Linked DNA regions of Caenorhabditis elegans. The protein of the gene in region 1 interacts with the protein of each later gene in a pairwise test. Each region holds a gene or a part of one and is shown on either strand. Other genes may lie near its edges. The genes, in order: mrpl-24 and ZK899.5.

The links.
Region 2: the proteins of mrpl-24 (region 1) and ZK899.5 interact in a two-hybrid assay, tested with the Caenorhabditis elegans proteins (one large-scale study listed by BioGRID).

Annotation. Positions count from the first base shown.
Region 1 is NC_003279.8:5,504,761-5,509,144, reverse strand, and holds mrpl-24 (Large ribosomal subunit protein uL24m), read left to right. Parts: upstream 1-2,121; coding exon 2,122-2,249; intron 2,250-2,302; coding exon 2,303-2,431; intron 2,432-2,491; coding exon 2,492-2,648; intron 2,649-2,694; coding exon 2,695-2,774; intron 2,775-2,825; coding exon 2,826-2,906; intron 2,907-3,287; coding exon 3,288-3,409; intron 3,410-3,456; coding exon 3,457-3,596; 3' UTR 3,597-3,754; downstream 3,755-4,384. Other genes in the region: zipt-11 (Zinc transporter ZIP11), read left to right, coding at 1-96, 143-317, 365-478, 1,059-1,209, 1,257-1,415, 1,461-1,706; putative MFS-type transporter C09D4.1, read right to left, coding at 4,063-4,116, 4,167-4,225.
Region 2 is NC_003284.9:9,459,322-9,462,858, forward strand, and holds ZK899.5 (C2H2-type domain-containing protein), read right to left. Parts: upstream 1,614-3,537; 5' UTR 1,613-1,613; coding exon 1,528-1,612; intron 1,481-1,527; coding exon 1,374-1,480; intron 1,325-1,373; coding exon 590-1,324; downstream 1-589.

The DNA.
Region 1 (4,384 bases):
ATCAGGCGCTTCTTGCGGCCACATTCACATGGGGAGTCACGGCACTTGGAGCATCTCTTGTATTTATTATGCGTCATCAGAGTAAAAAGTTGTTAGGTAAAAGTTGAAATTGAAGCTGATTTTTGAAACAAAACTTCTGTAGACATTTCCCTGGGATTTGCCGCAGGAGTAATGACTGCTGCCTCATTCTGGTCCCTTCTCGCGCCAGCTATAGAAATCGCGGAAGCAGATTTTGAAAAATGGGCATTTGTACCTGTTGCTATTGGTTTCGCCGTTGGAGCAGGATTTGTTCACTTGGCTGACACACTTTTGCCATCGTAAGCTAAACTAAATGAACTAAATTACACTTTCTAAATTTTTAAAGATGTGTCGGAGATGCTGGAATGACATCACTTCTCTCTCCACCAACACGTCGATCTGAAACCGAGATGTCACTGATGCAGGCTCGCGAGGATCTTGATGTTGCAGCTCTGGCGCGGTAAGTCCTAATTCTTCTACAGACGCTCGGAATAATTTCCACTTCTAAATTTGTGTAACTGTACGTGTGGTTTTCATTCGTGTGTACCCTTTCATAGTTTTGCCATAAATTAGCCATCGTTCTACTCTAGATCAACCAGTGAATCCGGAGGAGAACTTCGACAACGACACCGGAAATCAGCCGGAAAATCAGAAAATAATAGGTGAGAAATGACGCGTCAACTTTTATTTTTGTTCTTGTTTTCCTGACTTCTCGTGGTAAGACCGGAAATCTATCCAAACTGTGTACGTTCAATTAATTAAATTAATTGTTAAACTGTCCGTTCCATTTTCTGTTTCACTTTATTAATCGCACCTTGGGGTACTTGTGCACTCTGAAAGATGCATGTCATCACGAGAAGTCTTGGAAATTTCAATAAAAATCACTTCAAACACGTCGTTTCGAATCTATTTTTCTGATTTTCTTCTTTTTTCGCTTTTTTTAAAAATATTCGGTTATACTAACACTTAACAAAGAAATCGGATCAAACTCCTCACCCTATGTTTTCTTCGAAATTTAATTATATTTTGTGACATTTCAGATCAGTAAATGAAGAACATCGAGAAAGGGATCGATCTGTTGATATGGGATCCGATAAGCGTCCTGATGTGATTCCAGAAGAAGATTACCGTCAATCATGGAGGCGGATTCTTTTGCTAATTTTAGCTGTAACCGTTCACAATATTCCTGAGGTATTTTTCAACCTTTTTAAACAATTTTTATCATATCTAATTTTCAGGGTCTCGCCGTTGGTGTCGGATTCGGATCAGCAGGAAAAACAAAACAAGCGACTTTTGAATCGGCATTCAATTTAGCTATTGGAATTGGTCTTCAGAATTTCCCAGAAGGACTTGCCGTTTCACTCCCACTTGCAGCATTCGGTCATTCTAAGCTGAAAGTGAGATATCGAATTTTGGAAATAAAACAAGTTAATCAATTTTAGGCATTCTGGTATGGTCAACTATCTGGAATGGTTGAGCCGATTGCTGCTCTATTCGGAGCTGCTGCTGTAATTTTTATGGAACCTGTGCTTCCATATGCCCTGGCGTTTGCGGCTGGAGCCATGATCTACGTGGTTGTCGATGATATTATCCCAGAAGCACAAAGAAATGGAAATGGAAAGCTGGCATCCCTTGGATGTATCATTGGATTCCTCGTGATGATGTGCATGGATGTTGGATTGGGTTAAACTCGGAAACTTGTTCACAACCCCATTACAACAATTTGCGAGTTCATAATGTTTTCTGTGAAAAACTTCATTTTTATTCCAAAATTTTACCATTTTCTGTGATAATTTCTCTTCGTATTACGCATTTTTTTACCGGATTCGAAATCTTCAATGTGCCACGCATTCCTTTCCCCTCTTCATAATAACTCTTATTAACGGTATTCTTTTGCCCCTGCATAATTCATCATTTCTGAAATTTTTAACTTATTTTGTTTTGCACCCTCTCCACCAAAATGCAATATTTTCCCAAATGTGTACATAAAACGGAATTTTGATTTTCGAAACGGATAGTTTATGTTTTTTTGGAATTCAAAGTTTAACAACTTTTGAATACTTTCAAGTGTTTTTCTTGTCATATTCCAAGTCATAATTCCAGATGCTTACTTCTCGTGCACTTCGAATTCCACGTAAACCATTTGTGGATCTTGATTACGCAAGGCATATGCCTTCTGCTTATGTTGAACGAACAAAGCGAACTGTTCCGAGAAAAGTTTTTGGAGATAGGTAAGTTGCTGAATTTTTTTCCAGCAATTCTCTTACAAATTGTAGCTTTTTAGGTTCGGAGCTCCAGATATCAAAATGTACTATGTTCATCCAGATGACTATGTTCCATCACATCGCCGTCCTTGGGAAGACAAACAGATTTCTTCTCATCTACATAGATCGGACAAATATTTCTCGGCTCAGTGAGTGAAAAAATCGGTTTTGGAAGTTTATTTTCCGTTCTGAATTATGTATTTTTGCAGACTTTCCAACCAATACTTCAATCTTCGTCGCCCAAAATCCGAACGAATGGCCGATACAGAGTGGACTTTCTTCCCGGGAGATCTTGTACAAGTGATGGTCGGAAAAGACAAAGGACGGCAAGGACTTGTGCTAACCACTAGCAGAGACTCCAGTGATGTTAGAATTGTGTCTTGTTACCCCAAAAGTTTATTTTTTGTTATAGGTGATCGTTGATGGCTTGCACACAAAGCTCGGTGAGGACATGGAGGGTAGTGAGAAGTTAGGAGTTGATAAAACACTCAGGTTAGGAAGAAATCTCGTGGGAACTTGCAATTAATTTTCAAATTAATACAGGTGGCAAGAGCAACCGTTGTCAGTGTCGAAGAAACAAGTGATGCTGGTCGATCCGAATGATGAACAGCCATGTGAAGCAAGGTAGTCTAACCCAGAAATTCGGAAGACATTTTTTGCAGAAAAACAAGAAAAATTATATCTAGATGGCACAAAAATTTTCAGAAAAAAAATGTTGCAATTTCCAAATTTATAGGGATTAACAATTCTCAAAAAAAAGGTTCCAACGATATGATATCTCTTTTCAGTTAAAAAAAAATTTTTCCCATAATCATCTCAAAAGTTTTAAACATCTTCGTCTTTTCATAAATCAAAAATTTTTCCAAAGAAAAATGCAGTAAATCAAAAATGAAGGAATTAGCATCCTTGGTCTAATCTATTCGTTTGAATAGCAAAATTGGTAATTTATGGAATTTTTCGAAAAAAGGAAGCTAAAATCCTTACGATACATTTCATGAATTTCAGATGGCAATTAAACGGTCCTGGTGATGAGTATATTCGAGTATCAACAAGAAGTGGATATGAAATCCCAATTCCATCTCAAGCTAAAGTTACATATGAATATCTACAGCCAGAAAATTATATTGGTATGTTTCTGAAAGTTTTTAAAATGTTTAACTCATTTCAATTTTAGAAGTCGAAGGAAAAGATACACCAGCTGATGCTGTACTTGAAAGAACCTACATGCCAAAAGTTGCGAGCTTCGAGCAGGAAATTATGGAAGAAATGGGAATCAAGGAGGAAAGAACTCCAAAACCTACTTTCTGGTACTAATTTTTCCTTTTTTTTTTCTTCTGTATTTTGTTATTTTAGAATAGGCTCTTCGTTTAATTTTTCGTTTTTTTTTTAGAAATCTAAATAGATACAATGTTGTTTTTATTATAATCATTCGATCTCGTTTTGGAAAAAAATAAAATTTAAAGAAAATAAAAATTCATTGAGTGAGAAAAACAACTAAAGACTAAACAAACGGGATTATACTTTCACAGAAAATGAGATGGGAATCTAGTTTTCAAACAGAAACAATAGGAATAAAAATATAGAAAAAAACACCGAACATTGTGCTCTATTTCATTATTATTATGTCACAACAAACGCAGTTTTGAGGAGAAATTCGGAAAAAAAAAACAAATAAAGCGCGCAATATATTTCAGAGATTTTCAAGGAATGAGGGGATCATCTATTTGCTGAGTTTTTATTTTTTTAAATTCAAGTTTTTGTGTGTTTCAAAATACAAATATTAAAAGTGCTCATTTTGCTGAAGTGTACAGCTTGTCAATTGGGTTTCCGATGTCTGAAAATAGTTGTTTTTTTCAAAAAGAGTTTGAAGAGAAATTAGCTTACTGGTATGGTGCATTGAACTGAATGCGCTTTCTGACGTTTCAGATCTTCTCGGATGAAACCTGAAAAGCAGAAAATTGAAAAAAAAAATCTTGAAGCTTTATTGCCGTTCTCGCTTTAGGTTTTTCTGTTTAAAAAACCGAAAAACTAAAAATAAATTACATTATCTAGAACCCACGGAAGTGCAAAAATGATTTTCTATCAATGTTTGGCAGGTTTCA
Region 2 (3,537 bases), on another chromosome or scaffold:
AGCTGTGTTTTATTACTTACTTGAACATGAATAATAAAATTCAAAACAACAATACATTTCAAAAAAAAATAGGTGCAATAATTAGTTGATGTTTCTTTGGATTAGTTGAATAAAATTAGGTAGAATTGTCAGCAGTTTTCCTGTTTGTTCCTCTCTTGCAAATTATACACAGTATAATTGGAAAGTTATATTTGTTATATCCTCCTTTTTTCCAAACAATGCATTGAACAATCTGAATTTACTGACACAAACCAAAAAAAAGAGGATTGGAAAAAAAGGTTGTTGTGACATGTCTCTTGCCTCGGTCTATAGTTTTTGAAAACATTTTAATTAAAAGAAATCAAGTTAATTTCATTTTATGAGACTTTATTGGATAATTGAGATGAGAACTATAAAGCAGGGAAAATCAAGAAAAACATTTCGTCGATGAGATCAATGAGTGAACAAATTAGATGAGTGAACAAATTAGAATTGGTACAAAAATGAAACAAAAAAATCAGAAAAGTATTTTTCCGAGCTATTTCGAAATTATTAAATATCTATCAGTTTAGCAATAGATAGTTGTGAAAATTAATCAAGTTTCAATGTTTTAGATGGCTTCAACATCAACCATTTCCTCGTCATATTCAAACGACTCTTCATTAAGATCCTCATCAGCAGCGTAACCAATCTCCATACTTTGATTATTGATATCTTCTCCGTCGTCCAACTCATCAGAATCATACTCATCCCAATCAGATTCCTCCACCTGTCCATCCTCTGAAACATCGGAAGTTTCTGTGTCAGTAGCGTCTTCCATGTGATCAATGCTTCTGGACATTCTTTTAGTTGGGAAAGAGTAGACAATACTTCCAGTTCTTTCATCTTTCTGTTTCTTGATCAAATAACGAACAAAGACGACATCAATCATATTCGAAACGTCAATCATGTAATCCTGGTACTTTTCAATGAAGTACTCCGAGAGTTCATCGAAATGAAGATCAGGTCCAACAGGCTCCAAATTTGGGATAACTCCTTCGGGCAATGGCTGCTTTAGATCCTCTCTAATTTGAATGATGCGCTCATCAGTTTCAAAGTACTGGAAGAGATTACAGAGACTATCATATGAAGTAAGCATGTTTCCAAATAGAGCTTTTGAATTTTGAATGAACGTTGAGTACTCGGATTTGTAGTTCGTGCATTGTTTGGAATGAATAATCACTTCGGCTTCTTCGTTGAAACGTTCCATACACATTCCACACTTCTTGCACTCAGATGCTTCATACAATTCAGAAACACGTTGAGTCATCATTAAAAGACGATTTCCGTGCATGTGCATGTGATACTGAAAGTAGAAAACAATTGAATTTTAATTTTACAAAGATTTGACTTACATTCAAATCGCGTTTTGCGTTTTCGAGACATTCATCAATATGCTGAATAAATGGGATTTCCGAATCGAACTTTGAACTGCAATCTGAGCACTGTAACTTGTGGATATCTGAAGAAACGCTATTAGTCAAGAAATTGGATTAGGTTGTAGCTTACTCAAGAAACTGCGACAAGTGTTGATGTTTATTGGAGTTCTCCAAATGTCGAAAATTCTGTGAGGAATGCTAGTGACGGGAGTCATTCTGAAAATTGTCAAATTAGGGCTGAAATTAGGATTTTAAACAATATTATGAATAAAAGAAACAGATACTAATACAACAAACAAACAGAAAACTTTTAAAAAAAAGTCAATTATTTGGAACAATGATTAAACTGTTTCAGATCACAACCTGACATTCCAAAACGAGTGAATGAGGAATAACTGACTATATTGGTTTACACAAACTGGTAGGCTCCACCCTTTTACCAGCAATATATTGGTATCGATTGTTCATTTTAGCGTCCCATATCGTCTCATAGAGCATCACATTGCCACATACTGGATCACGATGTGGGAAATTTCACATGGTAGTCTACCAACAAACAGATTTACGGTAATTGTAAATGGGGAAAATGAATTATAGAAATACAGAACGGAGTATCTAATCGGCTACATGTCATATTGACACTTTGTCTTCCGAAATGACGATACTTTCAAAACCTACTACTGTACTATAAGAAACTTGTTAATGTACCAAGAAAGACAATGAAGACAATCAAATAAATAAAACACAAGGGAGGGATTATGGGTATTTTGTTTTGCATGATTGGATAATCGAGTAAGGATCTGTATTAGAGTTAGTTTGCGACATATATATATATATATATATATTTTATCAATAAAAAGGTAAAACTGATATGGCATATTGAAGCATGTATTGAACCTCTAAGTGTTCAAAGGAAAGCTTACGTATAATCAGCAAAAATGAACATTAATCGAAGGTTCACGCGATTCACATTTGCATTTCATGATTTTTCTTAAAGATTCTAAGATACATGTTATAATGAGATTTTGGCGTCAAAAATGCTCATTTAAAAAAATCCTATTTACATGTCCGTGTTTGTGAAAAAACTACTTGAATAGATTTAAACACAAATACACTTTTTAGTACATTTGCAATAATTAAACAAAATTTGAAGATGAATATCACATATAATTAAATATATTCGCTATCTGTGTTTCCAGAGCACAACTATTGTTTTCAAATCTCGCGTAACTCATTTCTAATTGAAGTCAGACTAAAAGTGTTCTTTCTCGTTGATGTATACTTTTTTATCGATAAATTAAGTAACTATTTGTTGTAAATGCGCAATTTTTTTTGAGAAAACATCAGTTTTTGTCACGAATTGATTGGTAATATTTTCTGATCGAAGTAGGTACAAATCACTTTTGACTTTGATTGAAACCCATTTTTTATAAGACAAAACCGGCAATTGCCGAAGTTGCCGATTGCCGGGAATTTTGAAAACCGGCAATTGCGGGAATTGCCGATTGCCGGAAATCAGAATTGCCGGAAATGTAAAGTTGATACTTCTTTGTAGATTTACGAGCCTAAAGAGGCATTTCAATGAACAATTTTCTCTTTTCAAGCTCGAAATGTTTTAATCCTACAATGATTTACCATTTTATTTAAGAAAATGACTGATCGAATACTATAAAACACTGTGAACATTTTCACTTTCCAAAATATAATTAGGTTTGAAAATTGCCGAAAATGTCCGGCAATCGGCAATTTCGGCAATTTCGGCAATTGCCAAAATTGTCCGATTGCCGCGCAGCCCTGGTTGAGAGGACACTTTCTTGGTAGACAAAGTTTATTCTTTATTTTTTTGGAAACAGTTTTTCAGAAGATAAAACCCTTACGAAAAATAGAAAAGTGAAAAGCAGAAACAGTTATTTTTCAAGAAAACGGCGGGGAACAATTTGAACAGTCAAATAAAATCTCCGATTTTTTTTTCTTTATTGATTTGCGTTTGTTCAAATGATTTTAGTTATAATTTTATAATTTTAATTCGTATCTTTACCTAAGGATCCTTACAACCTGATTCCGAGAAACAAGTAAAACTTAATCATTACTCAAGCATAACTTATTGATTCAAACACGCTAATAATAGAAGAATGAAAAA